Cricetulus griseus: one gene and its partners. The protein of the gene in region 1 interacts with the protein of each later gene in a biochemical or structural test. Links are inferred from orthologs where the notes say so. Each region holds a gene or a part of one and is shown in the gene's direction. Other genes may lie near its edges.

Region 1 (3,649 bases):
TTCATGGAGTAGTTAGGAAAAAATGCATAACATTGCGTGTAGGTTATTTTGACAGCCTCCTTCTATAAATTCCAAGTGTATCCCCCCCAAAGTAGTGCTGTTATGCAATTAACTGCTTCCTTCTGGAAGTGTGGCAGTACCTTTCCAAGGCTGGTACCTTACTGTGCCCATATCAGAGTGGAAGGGAAACATGGCCTAGGTGTACAGGCTCCCTGGGTAATCCTTGACATTTTTTGTGTATATGAAGTTGTCTGGGTATGCAAATAACTTGAATATGTTAGTTCAGTCTTCTCATATATCTCTATCCATACATGTGTGATTAATACAGCCTGATCACCACCGCACAGGGCCTGAACCCACAACAGTGATTAATCATTTTTGAATAGTGTCTGCACCATTTGAAATCTTGTCCTTGAATGATTAATCATCTCAGTGCTGAGTTTTCAGATGGGGCAGCATGCTTTGCCCACTTCCCCTCATATTCTGCTTAATGGATCCTGCAGATGGAAACCAGGGTAAAGTTTACATTCAATGAGCAGCCTTACTTAAATGGTTTTAAAACATCTAATAATCAAGGACTAACTGTAAAAATGGTTAGTACAAGATTAACAGCAGGTTATGGTAAAACCCTGAATAGAGAGTAGTAGCCCTGCTCTTACCTGAAACTCAGCAGAGCCTGGGGTTTCTCTCCTGAGGGTGCTGCATATTACTACAGTAATAGAGGAGTGCAATCTTCAAGACACCTTGTGACTGAGCTCTTCTGACACTTAGCATCCTGAGACAGTGCCGCTGTGGTGGTTACCTTTTAGGCTAGACATGTGCTTAAAACTCCAGATGATGGTCTGTAAGTGGCCATTTCTTCACAGAAACTTTATCAACTGCCACAGTCTTGTCCCTTCCTAAAGGATGGCTGTATTTACTTGGAGTCATATGTACCCTAATCGAAGTAATGTTTAAATGTTACTTGTTTGTATAATCAGTTATGTATGCAGCTTTTCCAGAACCGAGATGCAACAAGTCTGTGTGGTCCACTCATTTGAATTGTCCAAGTTAATCCAAAGTAACAAAGTAACAATATCAGACCTCAGATGATGTTGCATATGCCATTGCTCCATCTTTACAGAACAGATTGAAAATTCGGATCTAGAGGAGCCAGCTGAGTAGCTCAGGTTTAAAGTTGCTCTTTAATAGTCTGTCTCTGATGTGTAAGCTCTTAACTGGATCCTTTTCTAATGCTAACTTGAACTGTTAGCTTTCTGTCACTGAGAGGACAAATGAGAAGACTGCCTTAGAAGAAACTTACTTGGCTCACAGCTTCAGAGGCTCGGGGTCACCCGGTTCTTGCTGTGGACCTATGGTGGAAAGGCTAGTGTCCTTTGCGTGAAAGCAGAGGAGCTGCCAGGAAAGGGCCATGACAAAACATACCCTCCAAAGGCTACCCTTCCTCCAGCCAGGTCACCACCTCCTGATAGCCTACATGAACTCATCACTCATCGATAAACTTAGCCCAGTCATCATCCAGTTGCCTCTTGGTGCCATAAACTGCAGACCAATCCTTCAATACATGCCCACTTCAGATTACATTAAATTCAAACTAACATGAGTTCCCCTTGCTATTTATTGACCTAGACTGAGCAGTCAGCATGCTGGAGATCAGTCTAGGAGGTAGCGTTTGTGTATTCTGTGGAAACAAAAGCATAGTGAGAACTGCTAATAGGAATTTATTAAATGCCCACACTTTGTTTTATTAGCTTTTTATCCTTCATAATTTTTGTTTTGTTCTTAATAAATTTATCATGAACTTGGGGTTTCGACAATTATGTGGGTATTGATTGCAGCTGGATTTCTCTTTGAACCTTCTAAATAATGAGCAAAGATTGGGCTCTCTGACTTTGGAGTTGCCCTCACCCCCAGCAGGAAGTTAACCTGTATAGAATTTCCTCCCTTTTTGAGTCCCACGTGTTTAACTAATACCAACTTGGTTGGAGTCATTTCATGCCACTTTTTGTGTATTATGAGCAGAGCTTCCAAGAGATGGATTTTACTTTTAGAGTTCTAACTCTGTTTTCTTTGCCACCTTGTTAACACTCTTGTAATATTCATGAGGAAAGATAATGTCCAGATGGAGATGGGGCCGGCAGACACTAACCTGCATGGGCTCCTATCAACTTCAGTTAGTTGCAGTTCGTAGAGTTTGCATTTGCTCTGTGTACTTCAGAGTGCTTCTTACCCTGCCTGCTCTGTCTTGGTAACAGCAACAAGTGGGAATGGAGACTTTGGTGACTGGAGTGCCTTCAACCAAGCCCCATCAGGTCCTGTTGCTTCCAGTAGTGAGCTCTTTGGCAGTGCCCCACAGCCTGCAGTAGAACTCATCGGTGGCTCACAGCCAACTTTAGGCCCACCTCCTGCTGCCTCAAACTCTTCCGACCTATTTGATCTTATGGGCTCATCCCAGGCAACCATGACGTCTTCCCAGAGTATGAATTTCTCTCTGATGAGCACTAACACTGTGGGGCTCGGTTTGCCCATGTCAAGGTCACAGGTAAGTTGTCTGCTTTCCCTGAGAATTGTTATTACACCTGCTAAGATGTCTGATAGGATGATGGGTTAGCTAGTGTAAGACAAGGAACCCTCCTTCCATAGTTCACTGTGAACCTAAACACCATTAGATGGCACGTGACTGCATACATTTGGTAGAATCGTGTGTTCTAGAGGACAAGGCCTTGTTATCTACTTAGAGTCCTTAAAAGAACAGGCATGATGCCTGGCATAAAGATACATGCTGAAATCTGTTGGGTCACAAAAGCATTTGGGGGGAAGAGATGCATTGTTTGTCCCATGGAAAATAGTCACTAAGTCTTAATTCTGTCTTGAACAAAGCATCTCTGTACATGATTACTCATGTAAATCATTGCCTCAGTGATGAATCTTAGCCCCGTTCTGGGCCTGTTGTCAACCTTCATTTTCATAAAGGAAAATTAGTGAGAGTTTTACAACCACATGTTAAGAGTTAAATACAAATTGTATAACAATAGAATTTGAACAGACAGAGGTGTGAAAGTGTCTGAGTTGTACCCGGAACTTGCTAGTTTTGACTAGGTTACTGATGTTTCTGATGCTAATCACTCATTTTAATGTATATATCCTCATCTTTGCGGTACTGGGATGAAGGAGGGGAAGAAAGAAGCAGAAAGGTGACTGTGTGAAAGGGCCAGCAGCTTTCTTTCAGCCTCTGTTGTCTTTCTCTGACCCTTTGCCTGGTGGTTTTTCTCTCCCATTTCCTCTCCTTGTTTTTGTCCTTTTAAAATTTATCTTTAGTAGCCACCACGCACCTCTGCTTCTTTCTCCTGAATTTCTCCTTTGTCAGTCCATATGTATATGAGTGCCACTGGTAGTACTCACACGAGGCAGTAGAGGTGCACAAAGCTGGGAAACTCCAGCCAGGCCCTGTGAAGTAGACTTGCTGCTTGATGTCATGGGTTGTATAACATGAGCAGACAGGTCTGCTTTCTGTTATGTAAGGACATTTCTTCCTGTCCACCTTTAGTTGTGCTGACCTGGTTCTTTGCCACCTGCCCGGGTGCTGCTCTTTGGAGTCTTCTCAGTAAATCTGTTTTCCTCGGGGTTGGGGGCTATAGTAACCTCAAGT
Region 2 (4,289 bases), about 40 Mb from region 1:
AAAAGCAACTAAAATGACTAAGCAGATTTCTAAGCAAAACTGCTTACACAAAATAATTGTATACCTAGTGAGGTCTTATAGTGTTTAGGTGAAAGGGGCAATGAAAATAATTTTCTCAAGAACTTTCAAGGGAATAAAAAAAAAAAGATGAAAGGCACGGGATTGAATTCTATAATTCTTCCTTATATCGGTGTTATTGTGAAACATTACATCTTACGCTTTATCAAGGGCTCTGGGGCGGCTGCTAATCGCTAATGAACGCTGCAGATACCTTAACGCTGTGGGCAGCCACGGTGCTCCGGGTTTGAAGTGCTTGTATTGCCCACACTGCTACGACAGGCAATGGTCCTACTAACACGTATGACTAGCAGTCAATCCCTCCGCTCCGAGAAAGCCTTTGAGGATCCTTCCTCCAAGCCATCCCCTGATCTAAATAAGACTCATGATCTGACGTTGCTGGACCCTCCAAGTCTCGAAGGCCAAGCTGATGTCTACACTAGGTGGGTCTAAATCCACCAAAATGTCCGCGGGAGCGCTCTCCGGGGCCGGCCTCAAGACACTCCTCACATGGCCTTCCTTCACTGTCCTTTGAGGTGGTTTATCTGAGGAACTCGGAAGCCGGCCGGTTCTCCCGGCGTCAGCAGGGCGTGCGTCAGGGAATGGAGCTTGCAGCCCGGCGCGATCCCCCTCCCAGAGGTGTCAGCAACCACCCACTGCGTGAAACCGGGCGGGGGAGGCGCGCCGCAGCCAGCCGCCCGAAGAGCGCTGCGGCGCGGCCCTTTTCCTGAGTCACCCCGGCGCCCACGCCGCGGCCTCCTCCTCAGGCACTCGCTCTCCTCACGCCCCGGCCGCCTCGCCGGCAGGGGGTCCATCCGCCACCTCACCCCCAGAGGCCGCGGCCATCCCCTAACCCTCGCCCTCCGCTCTGGCAGCCGTCAACCGACCCTTCCCTGCCCGCATCACGTGCGCCTGGAAGTGCGTGGGTGGGTCCTACAGCGCCTACGGAAATGACGTCGGTCGCCCCGAGTCGCATGATGTGGCAAAATGTTAAAAAAAAAAAAAAAAAGAGTGGGGGGAGGGGAGGAGGTAGAAACCGGAGCCTGGGGAAAGTGATGAGTCTTAAAAAAGTAGTCCCTCGGCCCCTCTGTTTCCTCGCAGTCGCCGCCGCGAAGAGCGCTCCGCGCACTGCGTCCCTGAATTCCTACGCCCGACCGCGGCGCGGCGCTCGTGGAAGGCTACATAAGGCGGAGGGGGTGAGGAGGCTGGGCGGAGTTCTGCCCCGGGATCCTTCCGCAGGGCTCAGCCGTTTCCGGAGTCTGCGCTGCTCCCGGTTCCGCCATTGCGGCTCTCCCGGCCCCTGGAGCCTCCGCCCCCGACCCAAGCTCTTTCGTCTGCCTGCCAGTTTCCTGCGTCCCCGGAGAGTATCCTGCTGAGCCCAGCCTCCCCCCCTTCCCCTTCTCCTCCTCTCCCTTGGAGAGCCCGGGCAGGCACTGCCCCGTAGCCCAGTGACAGGAGGAGACCATACCCCCCGACAGCGCCATGGCCCAGATTCTGCCAATTCGTTTTCAGGAGCATCTCCAGGTGTGTGTGGGTCGGGGCTGCCGAGGGCCTTTTCGTGGGTAGAGGCAAAGAAGGAGCCGGCGGCCCGGCCCGAAAGGGATCGAGGGGAGGCGGGGGGGGGGGTTGGTATTTGGCGTTAGATAGAGGAAGGGACACTGTCTTAAAAGCTTAAAGGGTTAAGTGATATTAGACTAGGATGGAAATGACGAATCGGAGTGCAAAGGGCGGCGAGGCCAGGCCTTACGTCTGACGGCCTCTTATTCTGCTTCCTGAATTGCAAGAATTGCACATACTAGACTCGACTCCCTTCCCATTTCACTCAGTTCATTCATTTGGGTAGGGGGTATGTGGGAGAGATTCTCGCACGTTTCTTCCGGAGCGAGAATTCTCGTTAACCCTGGGCTGGTGCAGGGCTGTCACCTTCCCTTGGTTTATTCCCGTTTCCACACCTAGTCTGCACCCAGAAATTGTGTGTCGGGTGGGTTGGGGAGGAGCAACCTTTTTCATCCTCCCTCTGCAGTTCACAACTGAGAAAGGCACCTTGGGGTAGGGGTAGGCAGTGGCTTGTGTCTTGTCTTCCCTGAATCTATAAGGAACCGAACGAAGGTCACTCACTGCAGGAACAGAAAGAAGATAGAATAGAGGGGCGGCTAGGGGCGGTGTCAGCCTCTGGGTGCCTGGGGTCAAGGTCCCAAGGGGAACGCGCATATTTTTCCTTTCTTGGTTTCTTCGTAGGGTGGTGTAGCTCTTAGCGTCACTTGGATTCTAGAAGGCAGGGAGAGTTATTTAGAGGTTATTTGTGGCCTTTTGGAATCTAGCAGGTAGTACAGTCTCACAGGACTGTGTGGAATTCAGCAGAGCCTGGTAGTAAATGCATACCTGCTCTGAGTCAGTACCAGACCAGTTGATCTGTAACTGGCTTCTTTTTAGTAGGTTGGGCGACCCCCCCACCCCCAACTGTGCCTTATCCTGGAGTTAATACACCATTGTCTAACCTGGCAGCATGCCAACGGTTGGCCTAGGCAGGTGACCATTGGAGGGCTTCGCTGAATTAAGCTTCTTCCGAACTGCTGATTTTCCTGATTCACTTGTCCTGACTCTTTAACATTATTCATTCATATCAAGTTATCACCCCCAACCCCCCCCGCAAATATCCCTGTGAAGAAGCTTGCTTTCAGGTCTGACTTCTAAAGGGCTAATTTCTGAAGGAAGACGCAATGGTCCAATGCAAATAATTCATCTGTTTTGGCAATAAGACCACAATTTTGCAAAAGTCTGAAAAATGGCAATGCTGATCAAGAAGTGAATTTTTGTCCTCAGTTCAAACTTGTTTTGGGTCCCTCTGTTAAAAAACGAATATGAAGAGTTAGTGACTTCACATTGTTCCTGAATCCTAGTGGACAATGGGCTTGTCTGCAGTAAAGTGCACCAAAAATAACCTTTCTGCAAGCATGTTTATAAACCATACACAAGAGAAGCAAAGGCAGTTGCTAATCGTTTCACATGACCTGTGGTTTGTCCCTTGGTAAATCTTATTTGTTGGTCATTGGTGATTTGAGTAATAGGTTTTCATTTTTAATAAATAACAAGAATTGTTGAATGGTCCTACAGATTGGAATCCAAACTTGTCCCTAATTAAAATAAATTTAATGCAGGTGTGGCATGTGAGGAACAATTTCTGCAAATAATTGAAACTGTTTCCTTCTCAAATGTGAAGCTTTTGAATATTTACAAAATAGCTTTACAAGTATTCTTGAAGGTCTCTGACATTTATTTTTTGTAGGATCATATTCCACTTTAAGCTTATGCTTGGCTGGTAGGATTCCACTCCAGTAGATAGTGACCAATTGCACCAAAAGTCCCAAACACCATTCTCTTCCAGGATAATGTATCTCCTGACCTCAGGTTTTTAGCCCCTCTTTTAACGCATTATTGCAAGGGTTATTTCAGTTGTCATCTTAAGTCTTTGATTTCCAAGCCTCTGCCATTCTGCTTAGTAGAAAACAGTTTTCTAAAACACATAGAAGAACTGTAAATGAGGAACTAGAGAGTGTAGTGTTAACTTGTGAAACTTAACAGCAAACTCTTAAGTTTATGTTAAACTTTTCTTTAAATTTTATTTTTATTTTATGAACATTAGTGTTTTGCCTGTCCGTGTGAGGGTGTCAGGTCCCCTGGAACTGGAGTTTCAGGCAGTTGTAAGCTGCCATGTGGGTGCTTGGAATTGAATCTGGATCCTTTGGAAGAGCAATCATTGCTCTTAACCACTGAGCCATTTCTCCAGCCCCTATTTTAAGACTCCTGCAAATAAAATATTGCTATTTATTTCCATGATGTTCTGTCATTGAGGCTTGGAACAACAATCATATCACATAAATATTAATATTTTATGTGATGAAGGAATTTTTGTTAGAATTGCAGATCCTAAAGAAATTGTAGGTTGCAGAACTCAGAAAGTTCTATGCCATCCAACAAAACCCTATCTCAAAAAACAAAACCCCACTGCCTGAAATTCTCAATTCTTGGCATATTAAGCATCTTTACAATTCTTCTCTCATCCTGTTGAACACTTGAGCACTTTTAGTTTTCCATTACAAATCTCCCCACCCTGATCTTCTCCCTTTGATCCATAAATGCAATTATGCAATATGTTGCTGAGCTGAATAGTAGGATTCTTGCTAAGGTTTTGGTTTTTCAAAGAGAAGGCAGTATTTTCCTGGGATGTAATG
Region 3 (3,649 bases), about 36 Mb from region 1:
AGCATCATGCTTTTGTTGGGTCCTTGCTTTCATCAACTGGTTTGGGTGGCATTGTTTGCGTTCTCTTGATGAGGAAACTTTGTCATAGAGTTGTCACCTACAGTTGCACTATGTAAAGCCTATGCTTGATCTTAGATGTCTGGGTCTAGATCCCCTGCTCTTACCAACCACCTTCCCCTGATAAGTTACCTGAGATGTGTATATAAATTTCTTTCCAAGTTTATTCTCTAGTTCTGGCTGCCAATCACTTGTCTTTAGTTGACTGCTGGACATCTATAGTTATTTTTCTTAACACATAACAGAATTAAGCATCTTGAAGCTGTGGTTGTAGCTCGGTGGTAGAATGTGTTCTTAGCGAACAAAACCTGAGTGTCTTATTTTTTTTTTTTATCATCCTTCCAGATTCCCCTATTGGCAGCATCACTTATCTTTTCCTTAATGTTTGTTTATTGTCATTCTCCTTACCCCTCCATGTTCAGATCTTGTCAAAAGCTACTTAAGTTTTGTTTTTTTTTTAACATGTATTTATTTGTTGTGTGTACGTGTACATGTCTCACAGAGGACAACCTATGGGAGTCAATTCTCTCCTTCCACTGTGTGGATTTTGGGGATTAAACTTGATGGCAGGAACATTTACCTCCTGAGACATCTCAGCCATGTTTAATTCCTTAATTGCATTCTTAGTGTTTTGTGGTTGTACATGTGACATTTGCTTGCTGCTTTATTGTATAGGGGTGAAGATGGTTTTTCTTATTTCTCCTCTGTGTTTGATTACAGCACTGATGCAGGTGATAGCCCTGTTGGCACCACCACTGCAACCAACCTGGAACAGCCTCAGGTCATCCCCTCTCAAGGTGACCTCTTGGGGGATCTTTTAAATCTTGACCTGGGTCCCCCAGTGAACGTGCCACAAGTGTCCTCCATGCAGATGGGAGCCGTGGATCTTTTAGGAGGAGGACTGGATAGCCTGGTAAGCCTCTGCTTCTCTTTTGGTGTTTTTAGTTCTTGCTGGACTAGAGAACTTTATTTGGCTTTCCTTGGTGAACAGAAATGTCCTTTGTAAAGGACAGAATTATCTATCTTTAGAGACTTCATTACCATTCTGTTCATTATTGGGATGGAATATGTCTACATGTATACAGATTTATTATGTTGATCTGCTTATAAATAGAACTTCTGGTATTTAGTCAACATGTTATTTGGCTATCATAATTAATGATGTCCTTACCAGAGTTCATTATTTTTCCTACTTCTTAACTTCTTGTAAGTTGTCCTTTGGTCATGAGTATCATTAAAGTGGCTTAATAATGGTCACCATCTTTCAGGCCTTTAAACCTCTGCCTTGTTGGGTGTGGTGGTCTATACCTATAATCCCATCACTTGGGAGGAAAGGCAGGAGGATCAGAAGTTCAAGGTTAACCTTGGCTACAAAGTGAATTGGAGGCAAGCCTGAGTTACATGAGGTCCTGCTTCAATATGCACACACTTCCAAAAATAAATAAATAAAATAAATTAAAAAAAATATCTTCTGTCTTTTAAATAGTTATTGGTTTGTGCCTTTTCCAGCTCTGAAATGTTTTAAGGCAGTCATTTGAGCATTTTTGTCTAAAATGCACCTTTATTACAATTGAAAAGAACTGCTTGACTTTTCCCCTTCCTCTTCACTTCTGCCTTTGTCATACTTCCAATTTAATTAGCTTCCAGGATTCTAATAATAAAAGGTTCCAAAGTCCAGACTGTCTGTGGACATGGGCTACCAAGCCCATGTTGTCCAAGATGGAGAAATATCAAATGGCAACAGTCAGTGTCTGGGGAAAAGGCCAGGGAAATGATAGGTCACAAGGCTCCCTGCAAATCAGGTACTTAACCTTGGTGGACTTACAGAATAGGTGTCTGATACTCTGATGACTATCAAGATGCCTGACAAGTTGATGCATTTCCCAGCAACGTTGGAGGGCACACACTGTAGGTCAGAAATTTTCAGAGATGATAGAAACAGAACCACTTGTTCTCTTCTGTATATAATGCCGTTGTCTCTTAAGCTTCACGAAGACTGTGGTATTTGACTATAACATTTGGGCTTGACTGATTGTAGAACAGTATTGAGTCATCATTCTACATTGCTGTATGGTCTTTTAGAATCAAAGTAGACAAATAATTTAAGTATCATGGAGCTGCCCAGGAAATAAAAATAACTCTTGTTGTACTGATGTATCACTTATAGGTTGAATAATACATCCTCAGGTTTATGCTTTAACTTCCTACTGCTTTCCCTGGAGGGTTACTACGTGATGGATTCATTGAACCTATTCATTGACAATGGGTTTAGAGATTGAGGTGGAAAAGAGGCCCTGATTTTGATGTTTGCAGGTTCATAATTCTAATAGGTGGATGTATCCATAATACACAAAGATAAAACTCAGACTAAGTACTGATTCAGATAAAGAGGCTGTGGAAGGAGCTAAGGAGATGGTTAAGTCTTGAAGGGTAAGAACCTGAGTTTGGTTGCCAGCACCCACATATACAAAAACAAACAACAACAACAAAAAACAGGTAATAGTGGCACACATTTTAAGCCCAGTACTCAGAGGCAGAGACAGATGGATCCCTGGGGAATGCTGGCCAGCCATCATAGCCTAATTAGTGAGTGTAAAGGTTCTAAGAACTCACTTGAGGCTAGGCATAGTGGCCTTTAAGCCCAGCACTCAGGAGATAGAAGCAGGTGAGTTTGAGGCCAGCCTGTCTTCATAGGAAATTTCAGACCAGCTAGGGCTATAGTGTAAGACCCTTGTCTTTAAAAAAAAAAAAAAACAAAAAAAAAAAAAACAAAAACAAAATGTACATGGCACTTCTGTTTTCTTAGTTAATTAATTAAATGTATATGGGTGCTTTGTATTTTATGTCTGTGTACCACATGCATGCTTGGTGTCTTAGAGACACAAGAGGGCATCATATTTTTACTTTGGGCCCTTACTTTTACTTTGGATCTGTATGTAATTTAATGTATTCTTTTACAAGAGCATTAGAAGAGAAGCCCACATTTGGCAGTGTGGAAGATGAGCTTCTAAGGCATCAGTGAACTGTGAGACTTTAAAATTCCTGTTCCAGTTACCTAAAGAGGAAAATAATTCCAGTTTTCTTATAATCTGTATAAATAGTGCCATTTCTTAAATGAAACCTTGCCTTATAGTAGCATTTCATAAAACTATATAATGTATATACAAATCTTGTACCAGAGAGATCCTGATTTAGTTAGGCTCTGGTAAAACTTAGTAGTCTGTATTTGGGGTTTTGTTTTGGTTGGTTGTGTTTGTTTCTTTGTGTGTGTGTGTGTGTGTGTGTGTGTGTGTGTGTTGTGTTAGATGACAGCCTTGGGTGTTGGTCCTGGCCTTCCACCTTGTTTTTGAGGCAGGATTTTTTTATTGTTGTTAATTGTTTTTTTGTTGTTGTTGTTGTTATTGTTGACAGGTTCTTCATATGTAGCCTAAGCTAGCCTCAAATTGACAATCCTCCTGCCTCAGTATCCCTAGTGCTGGGATTGTAGGCATGTGCCACAAGACCCAACATTAGTGTTGGGTATTAACTCAACCTTACTCCATGGAGGTCAGTGTTATGCTGCTAATGAGTTTTGCCTGTAGGCTCCTTGCCT

The links.
Region 2: the proteins of Clint1 (region 1) and Cltc form a complex in vitro, tested with the Homo sapiens proteins (2 studies listed by BioGRID). The link is inferred for Cricetulus griseus from reciprocal best matches to the Homo sapiens genes CLINT1 and CLTC.
Region 3: the proteins of Clint1 (region 1) and Ap2b1 form a complex in vitro, tested with the Homo sapiens proteins (2 studies listed by BioGRID and IntAct, with this or other methods). The link is inferred for Cricetulus griseus from reciprocal best matches to the Homo sapiens genes CLINT1 and AP2B1.

The regions. Positions count from the first base shown.
Region 1 is NC_048600.1:60,456,555-60,460,203, forward strand, and holds part of Clint1 (clathrin interactor 1), read left to right. Parts: intron 1-2,255; coding exon 2,256-2,542; intron 2,543-3,649. UniProt on the Homo sapiens protein: Binds to membranes enriched in phosphatidylinositol 4,5-bisphosphate (PtdIns(4,5)P2). May have a role in transport via clathrin-coated vesicles from the trans-Golgi network to endosomes. Stimulates clathrin assembly.
Region 2 is NC_048600.1:99,995,109-99,999,397, reverse strand, and holds the start of Cltc (clathrin heavy chain 1), read left to right. Parts: upstream 1-1,365; 5' UTR 1,366-1,539; coding exon 1,540-1,581; intron 1,582-4,289. UniProt on the Homo sapiens protein: Clathrin is the major protein of the polyhedral coat of coated pits and vesicles. Two different adapter protein complexes link the clathrin lattice either to the plasma membrane or to the trans-Golgi network.
Region 3 is NC_048600.1:96,585,547-96,589,195, forward strand, and holds part of Ap2b1 (AP-2 complex subunit beta), read left to right. Parts: intron 1-777; coding exon 778-970; intron 971-3,649. UniProt on the Homo sapiens protein: Component of the adaptor protein complex 2 (AP-2). Adaptor protein complexes function in protein transport via transport vesicles in different membrane traffic pathways.